Tamandua tetradactyla: one gene and its partners. The main gene of each other region encodes a partner of the protein of the gene in region 4 in a complex. Links are inferred from orthologs where the notes say so. Each region holds a gene or a part of one and is shown on either strand. Other genes may lie near its edges.

Region 1 (7,282 bases), on a different chromosome or scaffold from region 4:
TTAAATAAACATTTGTAATGTGTGCTTTCTAGAATTGCTTTTAGAGGAGAAGGGAAGTAATAATTTTTAACCATAATAGTTGCACATCTATCTTAAGACATTTATTATGTCAAATGTACATGCTCCATGTTAAACTGTACTTATGAAAGCCTTAATTTTTAAACAAATCATTTCAAATAAAATCTTAATATTTTGTGGCACACATATATATGCAGAGGGATTTGTGAAAATAGTATATCAATATTATCATAATATAACAAAGAAATTAATGTAATTAAGATTATTAAAATATGCAGTAGCCGAAACTTAATAAAAAAATAAATGAACCTAGTGGTTCAGCGCTAGAATGCTCATCTTTCATGCAGGAGACCAGGGTTCAATTCCCGGACTATGCAGCCCCTCAAAAAATACAAATAATAAATAAAGAAACAAAGAAACCTACACACAACTTACTAACCTGTTTGTTGTTCTCTGCCATGGAAAGCTGCAATATCAGGAGCATGGAGTCTGCACCACATACAGTAGTTCTCTCAGAGGTACAAAGGGTGTGCCAGTTCCTTCTAAACGCTTTAATCATGTTCAAGATAGACTTCTGATAATGCACAGCCATCCTCTTAAAGTAGAACAGAATACAATGTTGAAGTGTCTTATTTTAATTGGAAATTAATATCTAACATGTGCAAACAAGCAGAGTAAAAAAAGCAGTGAATGAGAGATCATCTCATATCTACCAAAATGGCTTTTAAATTTAAGAAAACAGAGTAATATAATTCCTGCCCAATCACATTTTCCTCTCATTTAATTTTCTTAAGCCAAATCATCTGAAATAATAATATCCAATCCTGCCTGAAAAGTCATCCAAAAAAGTACACAAATTTATAATGATAAAGCAAGTGAAACACAGCCTGATGGAGAAGTAACATGGAACTCCAGCCGACAACCAACATTAACTCACAAACACACAGTGACGTGATTATCCAGCTCCAGTCAACCTGCCAGACGAACTCGCCACATGAGCAATTCCAGGCAGGACCAGGAGAAGAACGACCTAGCTGAGCCCCATCTAAAGTACCGATCCACAGAATCACAAGCACACGAGCTGCTAAGTTTTGGGGCAGCTTTTTACACCAGCAACAGATCACAACACAATGGCTAATATTTAGGAGCTGTTACTTGATGCCAGGAATTTTTCAAAAGTTTAATATATTACCTCATGCAATTCTCACAAGAGGTGAGTACATTAGGCAGGTACTATTATCTTCATATTACATCTGACAAAATTGATGCCTCATGTCACCTGGCTAGAAAATAACTGAACCAGACCTAAACCCAAGATGCCTAATCCCATAAACTGTGTTCTTAAATCATTATATTGCATAAAAACCTCTGATACAGACAAAAGCCTTTCAAAATAATTAGATGCATTTCTAATGTTTTATATACCCAAGCCTATTGGACAGCTAATTTCTTTCATACCCAAGCCTATGAAACAGCTAATTCCTTTCTTTGATTAACAGACATGTGCTAACAGAGTTTTTCCTTCTTTCTTTACCAGTTTAAAATATATTCACATGTCCATCATCTCTTTTGGGTATGGTACTGTTCTCATCAATTTACTGACTTCTAAATCCCAGGCACCCTAGGTTTGCATGATCAAGAAAAAGAGCATATACCATTTACAAAATGATAGTTTAAATTATAGATATAACCAGTAACACAATTTAAAATACAGGTAAAAGACTTTATGTTAAAATAGCCACATAAATACAATCCCTCATAAATAGGTAGGAGTTATATTTCCCTTCAAAATATCACTCTCAGCTCTTAAAAAAAATGAGTGATGTAGGCCCCTCTCTCCAGCCAACCCAATGAGCAGTCTCACCACCCTACCACTCTCTAAGTGGGACATGATTCCCAGGGGTGTGGACCTTCCTGGCAACGTGGGGCAGAGATCTTGGAATGAACGGAGACTCAGCATCAAGGGATTGAGAAAAACCCTAGAATGAGCTGAGACAGCATCAAGCGATTGAGAAAACCTTCTCGACCAAAAGGGGGAAGAATGAAATGAGACAAAGTGTCAACGGCTAAGAGATTCCAAACAGAGTGGAGAGATTATCCTGGAGGGTTACTCTTATGCATCAAGTAGATATCATCTTGTTATTCAAGATGTAATGGAGAGGCTGGAGGGAACTGCCTGAAAATGTAGAGCTGTGTTCCAGTAGCCATGTTTCTTGAGGATGATTAAATAATGATACAGCTGTCACAATGTGACTGTGCGATTGTGTCTGATGCTCCTTTTATCTACCTTGTCAACAAAGGAGAACATATGGAATAAAAATAAATAATAGGGGGAATAAATGCTAAAATAAATTTAGTTTAAATGCTAGTGATCAATGACAGCAAGGGGTAAGGGGTATGGTATGTATAACTTTTTTTTCTGTTATCATTTTATTTCTTTTTCTGTTATCTTTTTATTTCTTTTTCTAAATCGATGCAAATGTTCTAAGAAATGATGAATATGCAACTAAGTGATGATATTGTGAATTACTGATTATGTATGTTGTTTTGTTTTTAATTAATAAATTTAAAAAAATGAGTGATGTAAAACTTCAGCTTCAATGATATGATCATTTTGCCTAAAATAAAACTTCAGCAGCAAATTAGTTACTGGCTTTAGAGATATTATGAGTCCCAATTGCTAAGAATGAAGATTCTTGTGGAACCAGACTCTTCTGGAACCTGGTTCCAGAACTTACTTGCTGTGAAATTTGGTCAAGTTAGGTCACCTCTCCCTGCTTCAATTTCCTCCTACTGAAAATGAAAATAATAGTTCGTACCTCATAGAGTTTTGTAAAGAGTAAATGACATATAAACAAGTAAAGCTTTAAAAGAACAGTGCCTGGCACAAATAAGAGCACATTAAAAGTGAAGTATTACATTATGAGTTTCTAAGTTGCTTTGAGTTAAAATTGAATGGACATTATTATTGGAGACAAAAAAAAAAAAAAAAAAAACAGTATTGTCCAGGAGTCAGGAGTTATTTGGAAAGGGCCAAGAGCAAAAATGTGAGGTTTGCAGGTCATGTGATCTTTGTCACAACTACTCAACTTGTCCTTGCAGTGTGAAAAGAGCCATGGACAATTCATAAATGAATAAGCATGGCTGTGCTCCAACAATACTGATTTACAGACAGTGTCCTTTGAATTTCATATCATTTTCATGTGTCAAAAAAATTATTCTTTTAGTTTCTTCCCAGCCATTTAAATACATAAAATCTATTGTTTACTCAAGTGGTAGCTGCACAAAAACAGGCAGTTCAGCCCATCTGCCCATCTCTTGTGAGCTTGGGTGACAGATTTACACCTGGCTGCACAGCGGAGATATCACCTAGAGAAGAGGCACAATACTCTCCTCACTTACTCACCTTCCTCGCACTTGAGAAGAGTCAATGAGGCACGGAATATGCAAACACTCTGAATGACAGGCTGCCCTACACAAAAACAGTAGAAGAAATTGGTGGCAATAATAAATACTTGCTTTAAAAAACTGGATTAAAGCTGCGCTGGAGGAAAAACTGTGGGGCAGGTGAATGTCACTGGGCGGTAGTGCGCGACGTCTGAAACAAGTACACGTTCGAGTCGGATAACCAGGTCCACCCCAGCAACTCCATCTATTAGCTGTACGTCCTACACTATGCAAGACCTCTGATGAGCCTCAATGTCTTAATCTGTGATCGGGGAGACAGTTCCTGGGTCGTAGTAAGGTCGTGAGACTTTGATGAGACAAGTACATGACCCAATGAATGCTACACTAAACAGGTCCTCGATAAGATACAGGGAAGCGTTGTCAGCAGTCAGGTGTTCCATGCTGTCTGGGGCGATGTGTATGGGGTAGCAAAACCGGAGTGGGAGCCCGCACGCCTCGTTTCCTCTAACTAGGGCCTAGCAGGTCCTTCTGGGCCTCCATCCCGCCCCTTCCAGTTCCCTCGGGGACACCCGACGTCCGTCCGCAGTCCTCAGAGCCAGCCAGGCGGCAGCGCCGAGGCCCGCACTTAGCACCGCACACGGTGAGGCGGTGCTCTGGTGTCACCGAAAGACCCCACAAGGTTCCGGCCCGGCCCACCAACGCTGGCAGGGAAGCGGGGAGACTCACCCGCGCGGGCTCCCGAGGCGAGGCCGCGCCTGCGCGCCGGCCCCCGGCCACGCCGGGATTACATTTCGAATCTCGCGGGAGGGCGCGGCAGCCAATCGCGGCGCTCGCCCTCCGAACCGGAAGCAGAGCCGGCGCGCGGCGGCCGCCCCGCCCCCGCGGAGGCCTGTTCGCTGCGGCCGCGCTTCGCCCGTCGGGTTGGTATCACGCGGCAGCGCCGAGGCAGCCGGCTTTGGGACGGGAGGTGTCTCCTCTGTCCTGGGCGTCCCATCTCTGTCCTCCGCGACCGCGGGCAGGGAAGGCGGGATCGGGTGCCGCGGGACTGGCCTGGGTGGGAGAGCGGCATCGAGGCTCTGTGCAGGGCCTTCTTCCCGGCTGCTCCAGGTGTGGAGGGGAGGGCCCAGCCCCGCGGGCGCTGCTGTAGGGCCACGGGGCCGGGATCGGAACGACTTTCCTGACCTCGAATCTTTTGCACCGCTGTTTCTGTGGGCGTCTCCCCTGCTGGTCACTCTTAACCATGCCAGCCCCGGGTGTCCACTCGTGAGTTTGCCAGCTGCTTCTCGGTCAATACTCATCAGGCCTTGGATGCGTTCATTTCTGGGTCCGGCTGTTTTCAGGAGCATAAAACTCTTATATCCAATTAAAAACAAACAAAAAAACCTAAAACCCGTAGTTCTCATTAGGGAATACTACTCTGTGGCCAGAATACACGTTAGGCCCGAACAGCTTTGTTGAGATTTTGTACTTGGCTTTATACCAGTGTATCAAGTTTTGGCACCCTTCGGGATCCGAGGATGCTTTGTATCTCCTTGTGTTAGAGCGCTTTTCATGCAGAATCATAACTATCCCTGAATGGTGACCGCCTTCAAGGCTGAGGCTGTTTTTCTTCACTTGCCCTAGTGTCCAAAATATAGTGAAGTCTTTCTGGCTCTGCTTGCTTATAAGCTTGGAAAGTTGTTGAACCTCCTAAAGCCTCAGTTTCTTCATCTGTGACGTGGAGACCACACATAGTATTTCCCTCTTCGGTTTGTGCAAATATTAAAAGTGGTAATGGCAGTAACGTGCTTTAACGTGGTGGCAACAAATAGTGCTCAGCTATTCTTTTTTTATAAATTTATTTAATATCAATCTGATTGTTTTTGCAAGTACTCAACATACGGCTTAGTCATACAGAATTTTATGGTGATTTCCTCTGCAAGTATTCACAAATATGGAAAGGAGAAAAGCTACGGAGCAAGTGTTCTACCATTAACTATTTTATCTAATTTTTTTCTGCTGCTTTGGTCCCTTGATAAGTACTTCAAATGTTTCATTCCTTTTGAGCTTTGTACCGCATTGCAATACCACATCCTTGCAATACTACATCCTTATTCTGATTCATTTACTGAAAGACATATTTAACTATTTCTAATTGAATCTATTTCTGCTGTAATTCACAGGTTGGTGACCTTGTCCCATAGAAGGCTGTTTTTTTTTTTCACAACTGCTTGAGTTTTGGCATACATGATGAAGCAAGATGCCACCACAAATGCTGCCTACACTGTGGATTGTGAAGATTATGTGCATGTGGTAGAATTTAATCCCTTTGAGAGTGGAGATTCAGGAAACCTAATTGCATATGGTGGCAATAATTACGTGGTAATTGGCACGTGTACATTTCAGGTTAGTTGCAAAGCTGCAATAAATGACAGTGAAGATACTTCACTTATAAACTTAAAAAACCAAAGGTAAATTTTGAAAGTATATTGAGTATTGCATTTGAACATTTAAAAAAAGAAAGATATGCAGAACCACAGAAAAAAACTTTCCCAGTAATATATGTCTGAGGTTGTATCAACATTGACCAAATAGAAAAAGAAGAGGGTGAGGCTCCTCTTTTGCCTCATTATTAGTTATAGCACATTATGATAATTGAAGGTTTTGCGAAGTTGAACATTGGTATGTTTAAAAAAAAATTAAATGGGATACAATTAATTACAATTTTTACTACCTTCCACTTTGTCATGAAACATTTTAGGCTAATATTAAAAGCCTAAAAACTGATTCTCTGGGAGATTTTATGGCTTTCATGAGATTCAACTTTTCTATTACTATGCTCTCCTACTTTTTATACATTTAAAGCGTGCATCTAGAGTATACAAAGTATGAGATCTTGTTACTTGAGCATACAATTCAGTATAGTCATTAAGAGCATGCTCCCTAGAGCTGGAATACCTAACTTTTCACTCCTACCCACTTAACCTCTGTGTGATCTTGACAAGGTACTTAACTTCTCATTTCTAAGAATGGGTTAAATAATACTTAATTGAGTTTTGGGAGGATTTCATGAGTCACTACATGTGACATTCCTAGATTGGCATCTGGCCAATTGTAAGCAACACACAGAGTCTAATTGTCATTGATTTGGGGCAGTGATGACACTTAGGTGCAGCCCTGTATTTTTCTCACAAAAATGTGCTACATGTGAGAGAGACTTTGATCAATGAGAGTTCAACACTCAGAATTTCTGGTTAATCCTTTGCTAGCAAAAATATTATTCAGAAAACCATTATTTCTCAAATTCTGATTAATCAATGACGTTAATTTAACAGGCACCAATTTTCAAAGATTTAAAGTAACTTTATCACTAAAGCCATTATAAACATTATTTCCTCTTCTACTCAGCAGCAAATTCAGTATCGTATAGTGTTGTGAAATAAAAAATGCAGTGTATCTTTTTACACTATTATACAGTAAATGTGTAAAGCTCTACAAAATTGGACTGGATTCGTATTTATCCTAAGGGGAAAATATAAAGTATAAATTAAAGATTTCAGTTTGTTGGTGTCTGAGTATAATATGAAAGCTCTTACATTATCCCATATTATTTGTTTGGGGTTGGGAGAGGAACTTCCAGATTTTAAATGGAATACAATCCTCAGCCAGACTTCAGCTGGATACTAGATTAGGAATCATATAATGTTGAGTAAGGTGATTGCTATAATGTACTCTTAAAAAAGGCCCAGGGTCCGCAGGCAGTGTTGGCTCATTGGCAGAATTCTTGCCTGCCATGCTGGAGACCCGGATTCAATTCCCAGAGCCTGTCCATGCCAAAACCAGAAAAAGGCCCAGGGGAAACCAGTTATCTAATGCA
Region 2 (6,858 bases), on a different chromosome or scaffold from region 4:
ACCTTTCCTTGAGAGTGGAAACTATTTAACCTTCACTCTCTGAGTACCTGAAACTTCACTTTCCAATACCACAGTCAATATCCACAAGTGGGAATTTAAGTGGCAATGAATTATAATTCAATTAAATTAAAAACACAATGTCTCAGTCATACTAGCCTCATTTCCAGGGCATGGTAGGCACACTTCCATCATTATACAAAGTTTTATAAAGTTTTATTGGATGGTGTTGCTCCAGAAGATTCCAAGTTTTCTTATAGTGCTAATGTACATTGACTCAATGATTCTAGGGATCACTTCAGAGTAGCTGCCAAGCAGCCCAGATTCTTGACAATTAATTAGTGGTGGTATTATCTCAAGGCATTGCTTTATGAACTAGATGGCATTTGTATAAACTATAAAATGGAGTTTCACCAGTTGGGCTGAGGTTTTTCCCTGAAAAACCTAAAATCTTTTTTAAAAAACAAAGTAGTTTTAAAAGATGTGGATGTCTTGATTTAAGAACACCTAGGGCTCAAACTGAGCCTCTAAAAGGTTTCATGGACTATGTTTGCCTTCCTGGAACGATAATTCCTGGAGCATTCCTAAATCAGATAAATCCTGAAACTCAGAGGAACCAGCCTCTCCAAGATTATCAATTAATTATAAACCCTATCCTTTAGTGTTGACACCCCTTTTTAACATGAAAAAATCAGAACGAGCAGTGCCCAAAGATCCCTATAGATAAAAAATAAAAAGTAAAAACTAAACAAAACAAAAACAAAAAACAAAGATCCCTATAGACTGGGAGAAGGATCAAAAGAGAAGAAATTATGACAGAGAAAACAGGACTTAAATGAGTATGACAGCTGAATCATTACATTAATATTCCTTCTAGCCTCCAGTGTTTGGGAGCAGTTAGAAGGAAAAATCTGAAATAGTGGAATGGTAGCCCATGACAAACTCTGGGATCTGTTCTGTAACTAATTGTTGAAGTGGGCTTTGAAAATTATCGCTTTTTTCTTTGTCTATATATTTTATAAAATATAAAAGATGTGGGTGTTTCGAAAAGTTTATCATTCTAGTCTTTTCAGATAGGTGATATGAAGAGTTCTAACTTTTCCTTCCTACATTTGCAAAATAGTTAATAAATTGGATTCCCAACCTTTCTAATCCTCACAAGACTCAACCACAAAATCATGTTAATTCACAACACAGAGGTAACCTTCCAACTGAAAAGAAAAATTAGAAAGGAAAAACAGAAACTCCCACAAGGCAGTTAAATTGCTTTGTTCCCTTACTATGACAACTGCTGTTTAAGTTTAATTATTTGATACTACTTCATAACATCTTAATATATGTGTCAGCACCCTCTCTGCAGGTTTCTTCAATTACATTTCTTTAGACAAGTAGGGGTGAGACTAGCTGGGTTTCTGTGAGAATTAAAGGGCTTGCAGATTAATCGCTTCCAAATTAGCAGGTTTGGAAGCACAATACATCATTCTGTTCTGTCCTAGTCCCCAGTGAAAGCAATTAACAAGAAAGGTAACAGGAATATGGTTCTTTATCCCTAGGAGCCTGGCGCCTCACTTGGGAGAGCAGGTTTCATAGAGATACCACGCTGGCAGTGCAAAGTGTTTCAAGAGGCTGTAATCCCAAGGCTGCTGCTCAAATTCTCAGTGAGGGCTGCACATCAGAGAGCACTCTAGAGCAAACTAGTAGATGGCTCCTCCACTCGTTAATATTTATGGTAAAAGGGAGAATGGGGTTTTAGAAAGATTAAAAAAAAAAAAAAAAACCACATCACCCCTTTCACTGCAATCCAGATTTCAGTATGAATCACATGGTAAGGGCTTAATATATCCTTGCTGAATAAACGAGGGAATGAAAGCATGGCACACAAAAGTATTCAATAAATAGGTATTAAGTAAATGAAGAGATATAACACAATATTTATGTATGACAGGCTGTGCTATCCACCATAGACAAAGTAGAGCTCTGGAGCCAGAACCCTGCGTTTGAATCCCAATGAGTCAATATTTTATGAGGCCCTGGGCAAGCCCCTTGGGGGTCAGCCTCATCTTTCCCATTTGGAAAAAGGGGCTACCGCTTACATTTTGCACGGGTCTTTCATGAATTAGGGGGAAATAAAACGTAGCTAAGCCTCTTAGCATAAAGCTTGGCATATGGAAGATCGGGAATAGAAAAATGGTAAAAATCTCTAGTGAACGCTAACGTTTCTTCAGGCTTCTCGTCTCAAAATTCTCACGCCAACTCTGCCAGGTGGGGACAATCATCTCCCTTCTACGAGTGAAAAAAATACTGACGCGCGGAGAGTGACGACAGGCCAGGGGCGGAGCTGGGATTCGAACCCGGTAATCTGCGCAGTGGCCCGCATTTCCATTCACAACACGGTAGTTTTCTCTCTATCACGGTTTAAGAGCCTAGGAGCAGAAACAGGCCTTCTGCAGGCAACTTTTCGTCGACTCCTCCCCCAAACTCTGTGAGGCAGTGTTAACTCGATCAAGATGAGGCTATGAGAAGTTCGGCGACTTGCCCCACGCCACACGGCGCGGTCCCGGGACCAAACACCTTCTGCCAGGTTCAGCCCGGGTCGTGGCGGCCTCCCCTCAGCACTCAACCGCGCACAATCTCTGAGCTTCAGTGGCCCATGTGGACTCCACTCCCCGTACCCCAAGGAGACCGCCGAAACCCCACCGTGCCCGCCCCAACTGCCCACAACGGTCATAGAGATCCCCTCCTGGATCTGACAGCTCCGGATCACCCCTTGCCCATCTCCACAGATCCGGCCCGGGGTGTCTCCTCACAGCCCCAAGACAGACCCGGCACCTTGGGGGAGGGGAACCAGGACTGGGCGCATGCCCAGAGACTTCATTCGTCCCCCAGCTCACCTGAGAGTCACGGAACTCCACCACCACGTTCTCGCTGCTCCATCGAGCCGCCATCACACCAACCCCAGGACGGTGCCCTCAGCCCCAGACCCGCGTTCCGGGGATCGGTGCGCCCCAAACAGCCTGCAAACCTGCCCTGCCTCGCCCCGCCCCCGCCCCTCCGCCTGACTGCATACCATTGGCTGACTCACACACCGGTTCCGGCCCTCTTCCAGCTCCTCCAATTGCGGCACTGCGCCGGCCAAGCGCAGACCCACCCCCTCTCACATCCATCACTCAGCTCGGGTCACTCACGCACCGCCCCTTGCCGCGAGCTCTGCCGGGAGTTGTAGTCCAAGGTGGAGAAGGGCTTGGGGTGAGCCTTGAAAAGCTTTGCGGGTAGGTTGGGCAGAGGGGAGGTATGCTGTCTGCCCTATCCCCTCGCAGGTGTCCCTTACATAGTCCCAGGCTCAGTCTAGAAACCCAAATCCAACATCCGTGCAAACCCAAGGTTCCTTTTTGCTCTGAGGCCTGCCGTAAAAGCATTGCAAAGTCTGCAGGACTTATTGTTTCATACAGTATAGCAGGGGCTCCCAAAGTGTGGTCCAGGGACCCCTGAGGGTCTCTGCAACACTTTCAGGGGTCTTCAAAGGCAAAACAATTTACATAATCATACTAAGAAGCTATTTCCCTTTTTCACTTTCATTCTCTCACCAGTGTACAGAGGCTACATGGTGCATATTACAAAAGACTGCATGCAGAAACAGATGGGCGAACCCAGCTGTCCTGTTTAAGCAGACATTAGAGAGATGTGCCACTCTTTTCACTAAATTTTTTTGTTTTGTAAAATGTAGTTATTTTTCAAATTTAAAGTAATTTATACTAATGAGAGTTAATGTTTAAATGAAATATGTATAAATATTTTTAATTTTTTAAATTTCAAATACAATATTTTCAAGGTATGTGAATTAAACATCAATAAAACTTTAAAAATTACAGTTACCTTCAATAAATATAATCCACATAAAAGTTCTTTGGGTGCTCAATAATTTTTAAGAGTATAAATAGCTCCTGTGATTTAAAAAAAAAAAAATTGAGAACCACTGTGCTTAGAGCATGGTGGGAGGTGATTAAGTTTCCCTCTTCTGTCCTATCCTTTCATTTCCACCCTGGTTTAACTGGGTGGCTTAGCTTCAGTTTTCTTACAGAAGGCAAAAATGATCTTTCTCACTTGATTATTGTAAGGCGCTAAGCACAGGGCCTGGAATGTAGTAAGTGCTCAAACACAAACTTTTATTGTTGTTAATATTATCAATGTTCTATTTACAAGTTATTACACGAATAGAGAGAGTAAGAAGGTGCAGTCCACTTCCTCCGTTAGGAGTGTTGGATGTAAGAAAGGGAGATGGACTTTCTACAGGTTAGGGTGACCAACTTTATCCCAGTTCACCCAGGACAATCCAGGTTTTAGCACTGAAAGTCCTGCATCCAGGGAAACCCTTCAGTCCCTGGCAAATTGGAACAGTTGGTTGCTCTACAATAGAATGAATTGTGTATTATAATAGACTTGCAAGTAATGTTCCAGGAGAGAACAACATAAGTAGGGAACTTGAAATAGCTTCCTGAAGGAGGTGATGTTTGAGTTTATAGTATAATATTAGGATTTTGATAGAGCGTGGAAAGTCTTTCAGCATAAACAGCCTGAACGAAGACCCTAAAGTGTGAAGATCAGGGTATGTCCCAGAGACATAAAGAGTTCCCACATTAACTCTCCTGGTGCTGCTTCTTTCCTTCAAGATACACATCACAATTTTTAATTTATGATTTTTGTGTTTGTTTATTTAATATTTTCAAGCTTTGGGAGGACAGGGACCAGGTCCATTTTGTTGGGCCCTGGATAGTGCCTTAACATACTACATGCTCCATGAAAACTGTCCAATGAATGAGTGTGAAAAGCCTATAAAGTCATAACCCCGGAGTGCAGTCAAGGTCAAAGAACACTTCTGTGCAACCAAAACTAATCCCCTATGCTTTCTTTCCCATCCACCCATCAGCTAGGCTCACACACCATGGCCCCTGAAACACTCCTCAAACTCTGACTTTCATCCTGTACTGTCCTTTTTTCTGCCTCCCATTCCTCCCAAGTTTCCGTTACCAAAGTCTGTGGAGTGTTCTAGAGAGAAGAGTCTCGGCTCGGATAGTGAGGAAGGGTAAAGACTGCAAGTCAAACCCAGGGGCAGGAGAAAATAAAGGCAAAGAATACTTCTAATACAAGCTTATGCTATCTCATAGGAATAAATGAATAAATTAATTCACCTAACACGCCACATCCTTATTTATCTGCTTTTTGTATGGTACGTAGTAGTTGCTCAGTAAGTCTCTGATGGATGGGTGATTAGCAGATAGTCAGGTGTGGCTATAATTTAGGATATTTGGCAGAATGTAGCAAGGAATTAAGGCTGGAAAAGTTGTAAAGGGCCAGGCTTACCCATTCAAGTTTAATCTGGACAAATACATATAGCTTCCAAAGCTCCCTTTCTGTTTTTCCACATATAGCTTTGTAGATGTTTCCCACCCAAACCAGGATTGCCCTCGCCTGAGCATTCCTGCAACCCTCCCCCTCCTCCTTAGTTCACATTTGTCTAGTTCTCAAAAATCTGCTTGTCATGGTTTGTAGGCACAGAAAGTACTTTGGGTTTCAAATCCTTAGTGCTCTCTGTTCTCTCAATGTTTTCTTTCTTAAAGATGTGAAAGGGACCTGGTAGAATTTGAGAGAGGGAGTATGAGCACCTTTCAAACTGCCTCCTCAGGCCCCTCTTTCCATTTCCTGCCCACACTGTCACCACGATGGAGTGGGGACTCTGGAGCTAAATCTAGAACTCTCAGGCTGCTGCTTCTTGGCTGTACACCTCTGAGATCCGCACAAGAACATCCTGCCTAAATCGGAGACTGGGGTCTTTTGCGGTCCCTTGCCAAGCAAACCTCACTTGCTGGTTTTGGTACAAGGCCCTTTTCACCAAGCAGTGTCTTTTCAGAAGGACACTGCTAGCTAAGCAACAGGAAAGCAGGGTACCTAGCAAACCCAGAAATCTAGGGCCTCCTATGGCTTTTATCAGCAACTAGTCATGCAAGTTTGAACAAGATCTTTTATCTTTCTGCAGGATTTGGAGAGAGCTGACCCCTCAGCCCTTTATGGCTGGGAATCTTGGATCCCCACCTTGAACCCCACTAGTAATTACCCTCTCTTCACCAGTCACCAAATATTTATGGACGTGCCCACACTGCCTCTTTGCTATGTGTACTTGGTTGCTCAATACCCTGGTTTCTCTGTTTAAATGTTCCCTTTTCAAGTAAAATGATGGAAATGCAAAGAATTTTAGAGGACTGAGAGGGCACTGGGGAACATCTGCCCATCCTCAGAGGAGGTGCTTGGGGCTCACTTTAAAGCTACAGAATGCTGTCCCAACCCTCTAGTGCTCAAGACAGAGAGAGGCCACTGGTTCCCCAACTCTTCCCCAGACAGGCACTAATGAATTATGCCTCCTACCTTCTGAACTGCTCAAGTCCCAGGCTTAACGGTTTCTCCCTGAGATGTTTATATCTAGGGCTTTGCAGCCTTGTTGTACCCTTGCAAACAGCTCTGGCAACCGATCTCATTAGCTCTTTCTTCTGACTGTTCTGGAAGGTGGATCAGCTGTTTATTAACCCTGTTTCACAGCCACAGCTGAAGGAAAGCCAAGAAGCAGCTCACCTAGGGCCTGTGAGAACATGAAGATTAAAAAGTAGAAGTCCCAAATCTAGCTGGAACCATTTCTGTATCTGACTTCCTTGTGTTGAGAGTTTCCAAAATTACTTTTCACCCTCTCCAGAGCCATTAACTACCCAAAGGGGGAAAAAGATCCCACAAGGAAAGTTGGAGCAAAACACACCCAGGATTTGATGCAACAAATGACAAAAGGATACTAATCTGAGGCTGCAGGTTTCAGGTGAT
Region 3 (6,903 bases), on a different chromosome or scaffold from region 4:
ATATTTAATTGGTATTTTTAGGAAATGTTATGAGTATTAAGTTATTTGAGAGGATTAGAAATCCTCAAGAAGATTAGAGAGTTGGGAGATATGACAAACACATGAAAAGTTAAATAACATGACAATTAAAAATACCACGTGACAAAATATGATTATTTGCAAAATAAGCGGCAAAGAGAGTGCTATAAGCTCTGATTAGAATGAGATCATTATGGACAGCAGTCCTGCGGATCTTGCGAACAGACGGCGACACGATATTTCAACTTAAAAAAAGAAAGTGACACAGCATTCATCCCACCCTAAAATTATCTTCAGAAGAAAGAATAAAGAGAATGGTATAAAGAAACTTCCATACAAGGTTGTTAAAGCATATGATACTCCTGAAAAAAGTTAGAATATTCACACACACACACACACACACACACACACACACACACACACACAATCGTTTGCTGGGTCCCAGGACCCCTAAAGGGTCCTGAATACAAGTCTAGCAAAAACAGCATGCCCTCTCTCATCCTCCACCCCTCACAAAGCACTGCACTGGGCAGACGCCCGAGAAATTTCTCCCAGCCTCTTCTACGGCAATATTCTCATCTTCCTCTCCCTCCCCTCGCCTATATCAGACGGTGGCATCTTCCTCCAGGGGAAAAAGCAGAGGGCGGGGGAGGCAGAACAGGAGGGAAAGCTTGCAATGAGGTCGACTTTAGAGCAGAAGGAAAGCGAGAAAATGCGGGGGGCAAGGCTGGGGTCCCCTCAGTCCTGCCCAGCTTCCGGAAGCCTGGCAATACCATCTTACCCCAACGAACGCCCCCCGCCGCGGGACTCAAGACAGCAGGCGGCTGACTCCGCGGACAGCCTCCGCCCCACCTGGGCCACCCGGCCCTCCACGCCCCCACCTCTCCTCCACGTCGCCGTTAAGTGACAGGTCTTCGTCGGAGGAGGCGGGGGGAGGTCGCACACACTAGCAGTTAGGGAGCTGAGGCCCTCCGCAGCAGGGGGACACAACGTCGCGGCCGGACCGGGGTCAGTCCAGGCCCGGCCGCCGGTGCGGTGGAGGCGGCACTTACTGCGGAGATTGTGGATGAGCTCCGAGTGGCTGGCGCCGCCGGATTTCCAGGCCATCGCTAGGCACACCCGGAGCAGGTACAGAACCACCTTCAGCGCGGCGACGGTGCCCAGCAGCTTCCCCAGGAGTGACACCACCTCCCACACGGTCACCACCCCGCCCGCGTCTCCGCCGGAGCCGCCGCCGCTGCTGCCGCCACTGCGCGCTCCCGGCATGCCCCGGGGCACGCATGCGCCCTGTGACGCCGCGCTCTGGGCGGGGCCGGGTGGGGCCGAGGAGGCGCCTTCCCAGGACTCCCCCGAGGCTGGATGGGTGGTGCAATCTCCCGAGTCTCTCGCTGCGCATCGCCTTTCCTCGGGCTTTCCTCTGGTCGATCCTGGAGACCCTCGCTCTTGTCCCAGTGCAGAGCGATTTTGCGGCCGGTCTGCTTCACCACGGTCACTGGTAGTTCCGCAGTCGCCTCTCGGTCAGCTGTTGCGAGCCACGGGGCTGCTCCTATAACTGTCCACGTTGTTAAGCGGTGGGCTTCCCCCGCCCTGCCTCACCCAGCCCAGTAGCTAGGGTAGAACCCCAGCTCCGGATGGTGGAGTCTGTAGGATCTGACTCGGGCTTGGGACAGCGCTGGTTAGCAGAAAGCTTGCTATCCTCGTTTGTTGTCACTTCTAAAGCACAAATTCAGACAGAAAATTATATCATGATAAAGGATGTAGGGATTGGGTGTTTTGCCCCTTGAAACAACGCACATTTGAAGATCTACAATTGGTTAAAAATCCCACAGTATGCTGAAGACTCACAAATTCCACCGTTAGACTGGGCACCGACTTTGTTGCTATCAGCTCTGCAGACGATGAGCGAGAAGCTGTCAGGGAACATTGCCTGTCTCAGACAAAATGCTGACTCCTGTATCTAATCACAGTCTGATTGGAAGACAGCCCCTTGGATTCTCCTTTCTCCAAGTGATGAGCCCACAACTCCCTGTCCCAACCTGAGAACTCAAGTTGCTGCTTAGGTTTTTTCTACAAAGCTGTGTGATCTAAGTGAACCCAACCCCTGACCTCCATCTTTTCTCTCATTTCCTTTCCTTTATAATACTTGTTTACTCCAGTCCTTCTCCAAGCCCAGGCTGTGACAAAGAAGGGCCCATTCTGTTTCTCTTCATCTCATCTATTCATCACTCTCACTGGCACCCTCTCTTCCTGGGAAACACATATAATTGTATTGTCAGGTGTGGGGAATGAATGATCTTTTTCCCCCCAGATACATTCTTACTTATTTGAGACATCTGATTCCCTTAGAATCCTGACCCTTGATTCAGGGGGGTGGCTTGCAAAAGGGGAAGGAGTGCAGTCTGGTACCCTTCTCCTGCAGGCCCCATGGGGTACTATCTAATAAATATTCTGAGTATGGAAAAAAAAATGCTGACTCCTAATCAGAACCGAGGCTAGTAGAACCCAACCATCACTTGGTCCAGTACACTTTTAAGGAAGGAAGCAAAGCTATACCGAGACATCTATACTACTGTGCCAGTTTCATTGTTCAGGTTCTAATTCTTAACAGACTTTGCTAAATGTGACATGAATCTGATTTCCAACCTGAAATATACTTAGACCTTACCTTTTTTTCTGGCATCATGTGATCATAAACACTCAAAACAGTGTGCTCTACTTGAATATTAGAAATAAAATGGTCAGTTTGGAATTCTAATAGTTTGCCTTGCTCTCTGCAACTTCCTGATGGTCTTCTTGTTAGGGGAAAAAAATGTCAAGTCATTGATAGGAACCTGATAACTCTCTAAAGCTGGCCTGGGTGGATTGAATTCACATGTGGTGATTCCATAAGCTGTAGTTGTCGAATAGGACTACCAGATAAAAATAAGAGCAAGAAAGTATCATCGGCGTTCTAAAAAAACAGGAGATACAGTTATGAATACCTATAATGTAAAGGAGATAAAAAGATGAAGAATTTACACCTCTTGTATGAAATTGGATTTACGTTCTAATTGAGGAGATCTGTGCCAAAGGAAAACTAGCAATAGAAAGCAAAATATAAGTACCATCAGTGCTGTAGATAACCAGTGCTATGTTTATATAGATCATCATGGACTGTGGTAATCAGGAAAAGATAGCTGAAGGAACTAATGCTTGAAAGGTGAGCAAGATTCTGGGAAAGGAAGAAGAATGGATGTTATAGGTATAACTAAAGGCACAGGAGAAGGAACCTAGAAAACTAATTCCTAGGCTGTTGACTTTCGATATCACCATATTCATTCTTTATTAATACGTAAATGAATTGACCAGGGTTACAGCTAGGCAATGGGCTGCAAATTAGACCTAGAGTCTTAAGAATTCCAACGCCGGACTCTGACAATGTGTTATTAACAAATGTGAAACAAAAGATTTGTTTGGGGGCAAAGAGGGAGAGGTTTTGATAATAAGTTGGTGCATTAGTAGAGGTACCTCCGTGAGAACGGTAAGGATCTTGCGTATTTCTATACGCGGTGAAGTGCAACTGAATACTTAGATATCATTACAAGGTGGTTTCTCCTGCACTGATTTTGGTTTTGCCCTTAAAATTCATTTTACATTGCACACTTATTGCACAAATACACTCTCTCAGCCTTCCTGTAGTCATTTTGCCGGTTAAGAGCTGACCCTACAGCACAAAACCGTAAGGCACCCTTGTCAGAGCCGCCCCTGCTAGCTTGGGTTGATAGTTTCCTACCGGCCACCCCTGCCAGCTTGGGTGCTAGGACCAATCCGGTCTTCTTCGCCCAAGGAGGAAGATTGGCCCTCCTCAGACACCATCCCATCTATGTCCCATCCAATCAGGGTGAAGGACAGGGCTTAGAGCGCGCGCGGCAGTGCTTGCCATTTCTGCTTCTGGCATGGAGGAATTTTACGCCAAGTTTGTGTCTCAGAAAATCAGCAAAACCCGTTGGAGGCCCGTGCCCCCGGGGAGCCTACAGACCGCGGAGACCTTCGCTACAGGCTCTTGGGACAACGAGGTACCTCGACCCTAGCGACAGCCTTTCCCCACACTTGGGCCCCCTGCATCTGCGGCCCGGCCTCCCGAGCCAGTTCTCGCCCGCTAGCTGTTCCTACCTTCTCCGAGTCGGGGGACTATCTCGGGCTCTGTTGCCTGGTGCTCAGAGCCGGCAATAGAATGCCTGAATGTCGTACCTCTTAATGGTCTGAACTTAACCGTTACTGTTTATTGAGGTGATTTTGATGCAAGGTTGCCTGAGGGCGTACGAATTTTAATTTCCCAGGGTTGATGCTTCTTTTGCTTCAAGACAAAACTTTCTGCTTTACAGGAAAATTATGTTTCCCTGTGGTCTATTGGAGATTTTGGAAACTTGGACTCTGATGGAGGTTTTGGAGGAGACCATCAGTTATTGTGTGATATCAGACACCATGGTGATGTCATGGATTTGCAGGTAAGTCTGTGTAGTATCTACGAATTGTTAAAACAACTGAGAGATACACTTAAAGATAAAAAAAAAAAAAAAAGCATCATAAAAGGTACACGGGTGGTTCAGTAGTAGAATGCTCGCCTTTCATGTGCGAGACCGGGTTCGATTTGGGGACCATGCAACACCCTCACCCACCAAAAAAAAAAATACCTTAAAGTTTTTTCTAGTCTCACCTTTCGTTACAGCCTCTGTGGGCTGAATGATTTTGCTAACGTCATAAAAGTATATAGTGGCAAAATCAGAACTCAGGCGGGAAATATAGATTTAATCACAGTTTTTTATCAGTTAACCAGCTAACAAGTGCCAAACACTGTTTTGGGAGCTTACACAAACTTAACCCTCGTTTCACGTCTGTGAATCAACTTTTGTTATTTGTTTTACCAGTGTGAAAACTATATGCTCAAGAACTTCTGTTGAGCATATATGCCTTTTGACAAACACTGGGCAAGGCAATTTACAAGGTTTTGCTTTTTGAATTCTCCCCCCCCCCCCCCCCATAAAGAAATAAGCGCTCCCATTTCAAAGGTTTACAAGCCTTGGAGAGCTTAATTTATTTGTCCATTGTCTAAGAGTCAGTAGTAAGTGATAGGGCTGGAATTAAGTATAGAATTAAGTCTGTATAACTTTAACATCCCTGTATTTTATTCTATAAAAAACTGTCTATCCCTGGAAATATTTTTCTAAATCTTTATTGTAATGGCTAAAAATTAAATCAGTTGCAAGCAAAGGAGTTTAGGGAAAAAATGCTGTTATTTATTATTCATGAAAATAGTATTATTTGTCTAGAAGTTTTTGCGTCTTAAATCTATTATTGCATTTTATTTGCTTAGCATACACGAGCTCTCTTTAAATTTGTTATACAGTTTGATACTGATTGAATTGAACAAATGGGTTTCCTCCCTACTAATGTTTTTGAATCCATAATAAGCAGCATTTTTCTACTTAGTTTTTGGACCAGGAAAGAATCGTAGCAGCTTCATCAACAGGATGTGTAACTGTTTTCCTTCACCATCAGAATAACAAGGTAAAGAACCTTTTGTTTGAAAACCACATTTGTGTTTTAATTATTTGGAGGAAGGTTTGCAGAAGACTGCTTAGTAATCATTACAAATAATTAAACTTCACAATCTCAAAACATGCTGGAGGGAAATCCACTGTTACTACAAAACTTTTGGTTGTTTGATTCTGGAATTATCTTTCTATGGCCTTTTATTGAACTTGGATATCCCTTAGCTTGTTAAATAAATTCTGTTAGTAGTTTTGACCTAAAAATGTGATATTCCAGTAGGTAATTTTGCTGTAATTCTGCCTTATAAGTTCTTTTGAAGAAAAAAAGAGTATCTTTCAGCTCAGATGCCTTGAGAAAGGAAAAGGAACAGTTGCTTTGCTTAGCTTGATGGATCCCAGGTTTTAATTAGAAGAGGATACACTGTTTGAAGACTGACTTTTTCTCAATGTCTTTCTTTTTGCTAAAGCCCAAGTGTACTGACCTTCACAGTTCCATGGTGAGGGCAATTGTTAAAAATAGCTTCACTTGCAGTAACACAGTTTGAAGTTGCTTATTTAGGTTTGGAGGTTAATAGAGGTATTGTTAATGGGTATGGGTAGCACATCTGGCTAAGTATTTTCCTTAATGGAGTCATTTAGAAAGAGCTATTGAGATTTATTTCTTAGATGTAGCCTAATTCCCATTAGAATGTAGAGTTGCTTTTGAACGCACAACTACTTGATACCCAAGGACCATTTCTTTATTTGACATAAAGATTGGAAACATTTGTTTTGAATCTAATTAAACGTATGTGAAGCTTTGATGAGAGTAATTTCTAGACATTAGTACTCTGAAATACAAAGGAGAAAGGAGAGCATTATTTTTCTAGAAAGATGTGAGACAGAATTTTTTCTTTTTTTTTTTAATTGTGGAAGTATTTGTGTAACAAATCTTCACATTCAAAGCTTCCCAAACATTACCATTCAGTGGGATTAATCATATTCACAATATTGTGTACTCTCACCACCATCCATTATGATAACTTTCCGTTTCCCCCCCACAGAAAACCTGTACTCATTTTGCCTTAACTCTTCATTGCCCCTACCCTGTATCCCTGATAACCTGTACTCTACTTTCTTTCTCTGTGAGTTTACATATTCTCTGATATTTTCTTTGTGGTTACCATAGGGCTTAAATTTAACATCTTAAATCTATAATAATCTTGCTTGCCTTAATACCTACTTAACTTCATTAGCATACATAAACCGTGTTCCTGGATCCCTTACTCCTACATCTTTATATAGTTCTTGTCACAAAGAATTGTGATTCCAAAACCATTGATTTATGATTACATTTCATGCATTTGCCTTGTAG
Region 4 (7,651 bases):
TGGTCAAAACAGCATCGTACTGGCTCAAGGATATTGACCAATGAAATCAAATTGAAAGTTTAGAAATAGAACCTCACATCTTTGACCAAATTATTTTTGACAAGGCTGCCAAGTCCACTGAATTGGCAATGTAATTAACACCACTGAATTGTACATTTGAAAAGGGAGAAATATGGAAATTTTACGTTGTACATAAGTTACCATACAGAAATCCACACACTAAGGAAAAGTGTTAACACAGGGAAACATGTGTGTGAGGAGAGTATGAAGGAACTCTGTATTTTCTGCATGATTTCTCTGTACACCTACAAATGCTCTAATAAAATATGTGTGTGTACAGGAAAAAAGGGAACAAAGGAATATGCTGAAGTGCTAAGAAAAACTATACTGAAATGTTACAGAATTATAAATTTCTTACTGTTCAATTTTATGAAATGCATTTGTGTTACTTTAACAGGTAAAAAAATGCATAGCATCTTTTCAGGAAATGAATTATAAATTCTCTCTAGGAAGAACAGCGAGTCATTGATACTATCAAATAGTAAACATTTCAATTTTCCTCAATCACCATAGAAATAAATACTAACCTTCCAGCTAGCAGTACAATGCCAATCTCCACTTTCACTTTTATCCCAGACCTGTAAGAAAATAAAATGCAGATAGTTTATAGAAAAATTCCTACAAATTAAGACTAGAAACCAGTACACAGGAAAAGGATGTGAAAAAAAAATTCACAAAAGAATACGTGTATGCAAGCATTCATTCATTCAATGAGATATTTACTGAGAACCTCGGCTGTGTCAGGAACTGGGCTATGCACTGAGCCTCAGACAGCTCAAGCTCTAGTATGCAATGCAGACAATGTACATCATACACAATAAATATTACAGCAGAACACTGGACTTAACAAACAACAAAAAATATATAGATTTCAATAACAAGGGGCCACTTTAACCTATTAAAAATGATTTTGCCCAACAGTCTATGAAGCTTTTAAATCAGTAATCTTACTGGCAGTGTAAAATGGTACAACCTAAAAAAGATGATTTGCCAACTCTTTTCAAAAGCCCAAAACAGTCACTAATTTTTATCCAGAACTAGCCTAAGGAAATTACCCAAAATATTTAAAAGCTAAGTTAATGTAGATTTTCATTGCAACATTCTTTCTGAGAAAGAAAACCTACCCACTGAAAGATCTACTGAAGGATCAGGTAATAAGTGAATAATGAAAAAATAACAGCCTATTTAGTTAGACATTAATTGAGCCATTGGGAATAATGATCATGCAATAATGGGGGAAAATATACTTTTGCATGAAAAAGTTACACATTTACCTATATTTACTACCATGACAGTTATTAAAAACATTATAGGAAAAGGCCAAGAAATCACTAAATCTCAACGAGTGATAAGTGACCAGTAAGCCTATAAATAATTTCTCCTCCTAAAAAGAAAAAGTATATTACTTGCACAACTTAATACAAATGTGTGTTGTGTGTGTGTAGATAAATAAATAGAGCCCTTCGGTAAGAAAAAGTACACTGGAAAAAATGGACATAAGGTCACAAAGTAATGAAACACTACCGAAATATATACACCTGCAATTCAATATAATTCCCACCTAAAAACTCTTTCAAGGAAAAACATCATTCTTATGCAATCTCTTTATAAACCAGTAAAACTGATCCCAAGTTGTCATATAGACTACAAATTCATTATTTAACTAATATCTGCAGATTATTCATGTAGGTCAATTTATGACGATTATATATGAGAAATGTTTCCCCAAAAGGTCTACTACATAGTTAATCCATTAACAATCTTTAAAAATGGTTGTGAACCTTTCGAAAGCTGTAATTGGATGGATTTGGCGGTACTTTTTTCAAAAAAGTAAAATTGCTATAATTTTATCTTTCAGACCACTGGTAACAAACTTCAGTGTGAAAAGCAAGAAGGAAAACCCTGCCTTTGGAATAGTGGAGAATATAAATAATCCACACTCCAGCTTCCTTCTTCAGATTTACTATCACACCCCGATAACTCCTATCAGATTCCCTAAATCCCAAATACGATCCGCATATTATAAAAAGTCAGAATAGTGCTTTACAAACATGCCAATTCCTACAGAGTACAGAACTACATCGAATTTTTCTTTCACCGCGAAAAATATGAAGTTCCTTTTCCCACCACAAATAGGGAACTGTCTGCCCAAGTGAGGATTACGCAGCTAAAACTCGAACCATGGAAAATACTTTCCTCCAAGTCCCTCGCCCAGCCCTCTCATTGAACAAATTCGGTGGATTAGGCCACCTACTGCCAGGTACTCCTCAGACTGACACGCCGCTATGAGGTACTCGACCCTAACGCTAGCAAGTAACTCTGTCTACACACTGGCGCGAGGCTCAGAGGCCGGAGGACTGCCGGGAGGAGGCGGGAGCACCCACGTGGCCAGGATGCCCCGCCCAATCCGCCAGCCCCGCCCACTCAGCCAGCCGATCCGCGCAGGCGCACAGGGAGCGCGCCCCACGGGGCAGCCGGGACCCCGCAATGCGACCGACCGTGGAGCCCTATGTTGGGCAGATGGCGGCCGCAGGCCAGGGAGGGTCTATCCGCCTCCCCTGGGCTCCAAGTCCCGAGCGCGGAGGCCCGCCAGGGAGTCGGGAAGCCCTCCACGCGACAAGTCGCCGCCCCAACGTCTCCCTGCTCGGACCCCGGGGCTCACGCCCGCTCCCAGCGCCCCCTCCTCGGGCATCGCCTCCGTGCGCACCTTGACGCTCTGGTCGCTGGAGCAGGTCGCCATCCGCCGCCCGTGGAAGTCGAAAGACACATCATGGATGAGATCTTTGTGATCCGCCGCGATGCTGCGAGCCACGAACATCGCGCCCGCCGGGCCCGCGCCTACCGCGCTGGCCCTATGCGCCCCCCAGGAAAGACCCCGCGCATTAGCGCGTGCGGACGCGCCACCCGCCGAGGTCCCGACGCCTCGCGCGCTCCCGCCGCAGACGCGCGCAAAGTGCGCGTGCTGCTGCGCGCCACCGCGCCCCGCCCCTCACCCCGGCATGCCCCGCGAACGCCGTAGGGCGTCGCTGCGTCTTCGCCTGGGCCACACCCCGCCCTTCGGCCCCAGCGTGCCCGGGGAACTCCGCCGGAACTTCCGCGTCTGCGCTCTGGGCTAGGCACGCCCCTCGGCCCCAGCATGCCTTGCGTGCGCTGCTACAGCTTCCGGGTCTGCGTCCCTGAATCAGACCTGTAGAAGTCGTGGTCGGAGGTTCCTGCGACTTCCAGGGACGCGTCTTATTTTGTTTTACATAATAAGAGCTCCTTGTTGAAGATCTGGAAATTAAGGAAGATGAGAAAGATAAAATACAGTGCATAGTCCTCCACCCTGAGTCAATGCCCGTCCACATTTCGGCGTTTCCTCCCAGAAACGTGCTAGGAAGATTCCCCGGAGATTCGGTCCCAGTGAAGCTTTGCTGGAGCAGGACGGGGTGCAGAGGTGCTGGAAGAGGCGGGCCGAGGCGTCCGCCTTAACAGCTGAGACGTGAAGCAGGAAGGTTAAGAGGGTCGAGGAGCAGGTGTAGTGAGAGGGAGCGTGAAGGCGGAAAGGGTCGGAAGTAGGAAGTAGGCAGAGATACTTGAATTTACTATACCGGAGACCCGGGTTCGATTCCCGGTGTCTGCCCGTGCAGAACGTGTGTGTGTGTTTAAATTTAAAACCTCGGGTAGTGCAAGTTGGGGGCGGTAGCAGAACGTGTGTGTGTGTGTGTGTATTTGAATTTAAAACCTCGGGTAGAGCAGGTTGGGGGCGGTAGTAAGACCCAAGAAGGAGAAGATGAGATCTTTAGAAATTCGGGTTCGTGGGGTGGAAACAAATTACTTACGCAGTTTGCAGGATCCAAAGTGAATTGGAGGACTTTCGACCCTGGAGCCAGAGTCCTCAACGGAAAAACAAGGGAAATGAGCAAAACGCCCCATAAGAAGAGGAAGCCTTGAACCAACAAGTGGAGGAACATTTTTACAAAGAGTTTAAAGATTTAGGGGATTTTTTCATTCAGGGAGAGGCATTGCAGAGGGAATACGGTAACATTAATTAAGAAAGGAAACATTGGAAGATTGGGTCAAGGGAGAGAAAGTCCAGGGGAAAAAAAATCGAAAACGAGTCCGCGGAAGGGGCTTGTATTTTGGATTATGGCCAGGGATGACAAGAATTCGAGGCTTGATGAGATCAGCAGGAGAGAAAGTTTTCAAAACACTTAGTCCCAGCTGTTCCCTGATGGATTTCACTGAAAGCTGCAAAGGGAGGCAGGGAGATGATCTAGACATTCTGGAATTTTCTTTATGAGACTTTTTTTAGAGTTACATAGTATAAGACTAAATGTTTATTGTAAGACATTTGTTAAACCACACGTGTATATAGAGTAAAAATTAAAGTTCCTTTTCACCCCAGGATCTATCCTCCCTTGCATAGGATAACCATTATTACTGTGTACTCTTGCACACTTTTTCTGTGGTTTTGCATATAGCTACCTAGTACTAGCATATGAGATAACTAGTACACAGAAATGTTGAAATGTCATTGGATTTTTTTAAATTGATACTTTGTCTATTTTTGCTTTTTAAAAAGTATCCAATAGGGCGGGCCACTGTAGTTCCGCAGGCAAGAATGCTCACCTGCCATGCCCGAGGACCTGGTACCTGCCCATGTAAAAAAAAAAGGTATCCAATAAATCTTGGAGAACTTTCCACGTGGGTCTAATTCATTCTTTCAGTCTTTTACCTATGCATTCCAAATTAAGGCTGAATTGTGGTTTATTTAAACATTCCTTTGCTAATGGGCAAGCATGTAAAGATCACTGTAGGCATGATTCATTTATTCATTCAGGTAGACGTGTGCTTCATTAGAGTTCTGAAGTTTTTCTTAATATAGTTTTGCATGTTTCTCATTTGCTCTATTAAAACTTTATAATTTTCCTGGCCATGTGTCTGGGCTCTGTCTTCCTATCTTGCTTATAAGGAACCTGTTAAATCTCATATGTTCATTTTGTGTTTGTTCCCTTATAGAAGTCTTAGTTCTCTTAGCTTCTACATTTATTCTTTTGGGTATTTAGATAAATAAGTATATTAGCTGCAAGTAATGACATAGATATTTTGTATCCCTCACTGTCCAATCAAGAAAACGATATGTACTCTAGCTATTTCAAACAGGAAATTTAACACAGGAAAATGGTTACAAATGTATTGGAAGGGCTAAGTAGGCAAAAAGGGAACAGGTGAGGTTATCCAGAGTGTAGTAACTGCAGGAAACTTCTTAGGGCTGGAACAGAGGGAAAATAGTTTTACCCAGGGCCTGCCGTCACTGAACCTCTGAGATTACTGATGTTGGAATCTTCATCACTGTCCTAGGAAGCCAGCAGCAGAGTTGTCCAGCTAATGCGGCAGGCATCTAACAGTGGCAACAGCTGAAGGAGCCGGTGCCCACGAGCTCTGGGCAGCTGAGGATCCTAGATCCTCTGCAGCTGCTCCTGCAACTCTTAGGATTCCACTGCTTCCACAGGAAGCAGGATAGCCAGGCTGACCCATTGCCACCACAGCTGCAGCTGAGATGTCACCACAGAAAGGGGGGAAAAGATTTCTCTCTTTCTCCTCCATTCCAGTAGCAACGTCTGGTTGAATAATAGTTGTAATCATGCTTCTCTTGTTCCTGATGTTAATGAAACTGCTTCTAATGTGGCATAACTTTTCAAAAGGTTGGATTTCTATTTCAAGCTTGCTAGGAATCTTCATTAGGTATTAGTGTTTATCTCTTTTTTCTTATCAATACATTAATAAATTTCTGAATGCTAAACCATTATTGTTTTAATACACTGCTAGTGATTCACTAATATTTAGAATTTTTGCTTCGATATTTTAAAAATATTTTTGGTATATATTTTGCATATACATTTGCATGCGTGCTGTTCTTGTCCTTTTATGGTTTCTGTATTATTTTAACCAGGCACAAGAGATTAGGAAATTTTCATATTTTCTCTCCTCTGGAACAGTTCAAATGACATGGGAATTACTATTCTGTGAACATTTTGAAATTATATCCATAGAATTATATAAGCGTCATGCCTTGCTGTTAAGGAGGTTATTGATTTTAACTAAAGTTCAAATGTATTTTGTTATTGGTCTTCAGATTTTCTACCTTTTCTCAAGTCAATATTGATCATCTTTATTTTTCTTTAAAAAATCATTTATACACCATCAAGTTATACATGATAATTTCTTATAATTTTTTAAAAATCCCCTCCATGTCTGATGTAATGCTTTTTTGTTGTTTACTTTGCTTCTGTCTTCCTTTTTTTTCTTAATGTTTTAAACTTTTTATTGAAGGTATTATATACTTTCCAAAAAGTGCCCATGTTATAAGTTTACAGCTCACAGAGCTTCCCACAGAATGAACCCAGAAGCTCTCCTTGTGCTTCCTTCTGGTCAAAGAGAACCAAAGATAACTTCTATCCTGGTTTCTAGCAGCATAGATTAGTTTCACCTAGTTTTATCCTTTATGTAAATGAAATTGTACAGTATATGCTCTTTTTTTCCCTGGCTTTTTCCACTCTGTATTTAGGAGATTCATCCCTATTTTGCAAATGTTCACCCATCAACTTACTGATGAGCATAAGATTAAGTTCCAGTCTACATCTGTTAAGAATAGTGTTGCTGTGAACATTCTGGTACCCGTCTTATGGTGAGCGTAAATGTGCTGTTTTCTTGGACATAATGCCTAGGACAGTAATTGCCAGATTATCGAGGATGCACATATTCATATTTAGTAGATACTGGCAACAATTTTTCCAGAGTGGTTGAACCACTTTACAGCATCCTAGCAGTGTGTGATCGCTCCTATGTCTTCACAGTCTCAGCAACATTTGATATTTGTCATCTTTTCATTTTAGTCATTCTGGTGGTTGCATCATGACATCTCACTGTGTTTTTTATTTGCACTTCTTCATTTTTTTCCCAGAGGTTTGCTTGTTATATTAGTATTGATAAGTTGGATGCTACTGACCAAGTCTCCTAGTTTTTCCTTTCCTATTTCATTCATGTCCATTTTACCTTTATTGGTACTAGTACTTTCTTCAGATATTTATAGTTTTCCTACTTTGTTTTGCTTTCAATCTTATTTCCTAGGAATATCAAACTTGTATATTTTCCTCTGAGGAAATGAATAGCAATCTTTGCTATTCATTTCTGAAGTGTGTCATTTGAGTTCTTGTTTGCTATTTAGCTCCATACTTATTTAGAAAATGTGTTTTCACAAGTGGAAGTTTTCCCTCTTTTGGCTGTTGCTTTTCTGTAGCTGTAGTGTGGATTTGCCTGTACCACAGAGAGTGCACAAGAGGACAGGGGCCAGCCCTGAGGACGCTAGTCCGGTGACATTGTCTACGGCAGCCAGTTAGGAAGCATAAAATTTACTGGCCAAACACAACAAGCAAACTCACCACCGTCCCCCTGTCTACATGGGACATGACTCCCAGGGGTGTGGACCTTCCTGGCAGCATGGGACAGAAATCCGAGAATGAACTCGGACTCAGCATCAAGGGATTGAGAAAAACCCTAGAATGAGCTGAGACCCAGCATCAAGGGATTGAGGAAATCCTCTTGAGCA

What was found.
Region 1: SEH1L (region 4) and NUP37 share a complex: the UniProt entries of both Homo sapiens proteins name them as parts of the nup107-160 subcomplex of the nuclear pore complex. The link is inferred for Tamandua tetradactyla from reciprocal best matches to the Homo sapiens genes SEH1L and NUP37.
Region 2: the proteins of SEH1L (region 4) and WDR59 are in contact, whole or in part, in a cryo-EM structure (PDB 7UHY), measured with the Homo sapiens proteins. The link is inferred for Tamandua tetradactyla from reciprocal best matches to the Homo sapiens genes SEH1L and WDR59. Residues at the interface, in NP_112493.2 of Homo sapiens: Asn308, Tyr309, Met310, Asn312, Lys314; in NP_085058.3 of Homo sapiens: Pro713, Asp714, Glu716, Thr717, Pro718, Arg721, Arg837, Glu840, Gln843, His844, Asn847.
Region 3: SEH1L (region 4) and NUP43 share a complex: the UniProt entries of both Homo sapiens proteins name them as parts of the nup107-160 subcomplex of the nuclear pore complex. The link is inferred for Tamandua tetradactyla from reciprocal best matches to the Homo sapiens genes SEH1L and NUP43.

The regions. Positions count from the first base shown.
Region 1 is NC_135333.1:172,275,059-172,282,340, reverse strand, and holds the start of NUP37 (nucleoporin Nup37), read left to right. Parts: upstream 1-4,257; 5' UTR 4,258-4,346; intron 4,347-4,352; exon of another isoform or gene 4,353-4,533; intron 4,534-5,588; 5' UTR 5,589-5,652; coding exon 5,653-5,811; intron 5,812-7,282. Other genes in the region: PARPBP (PCNA-interacting partner), read right to left, coding at 458-610. UniProt on the Homo sapiens protein: Component of the Nup107-160 subcomplex of the nuclear pore complex (NPC). The Nup107-160 subcomplex is required for the assembly of a functional NPC.
Region 2 is NC_135342.1:69,496,560-69,503,417, forward strand, and holds the start of WDR59 (GATOR2 complex protein WDR59), read right to left. Parts: upstream 3,024-6,858; 5' UTR 2,943-3,023; coding exon 2,889-2,942; intron 1-2,888. UniProt on the Homo sapiens protein: As a component of the GATOR2 complex, functions as an activator of the amino acid-sensing branch of the mTORC1 signaling pathway. The GATOR2 complex indirectly activates mTORC1 through the inhibition of the GATOR1 subcomplex.
Region 3 is NC_135328.1:141,295,561-141,302,463, reverse strand, and holds the start of NUP43 (nucleoporin Nup43), read left to right. Parts: upstream 1-3,903; 5' UTR 3,904-3,953; coding exon 3,954-4,073; intron 4,074-4,382; coding exon 4,383-4,505; intron 4,506-5,487; coding exon 5,488-5,565; intron 5,566-6,903. Other genes in the region: PCMT1 (protein-L-isoaspartate(D-aspartate) O-methyltransferase), read right to left, coding at 1,071-1,284. UniProt on the Homo sapiens protein: Component of the Nup107-160 subcomplex of the nuclear pore complex (NPC). The Nup107-160 subcomplex is required for the assembly of a functional NPC.
Region 4 is NC_135344.1:76,895,279-76,902,929, reverse strand, and holds the start of SEH1L (nucleoporin SEH1), read right to left. Parts: upstream 3,008-7,651; 5' UTR 2,879-3,007; coding exon 2,768-2,878; intron 639-2,767; coding exon 588-638; intron 1-587. UniProt on the Homo sapiens protein: Component of the Nup107-160 subcomplex of the nuclear pore complex (NPC). The Nup107-160 subcomplex is required for the assembly of a functional NPC.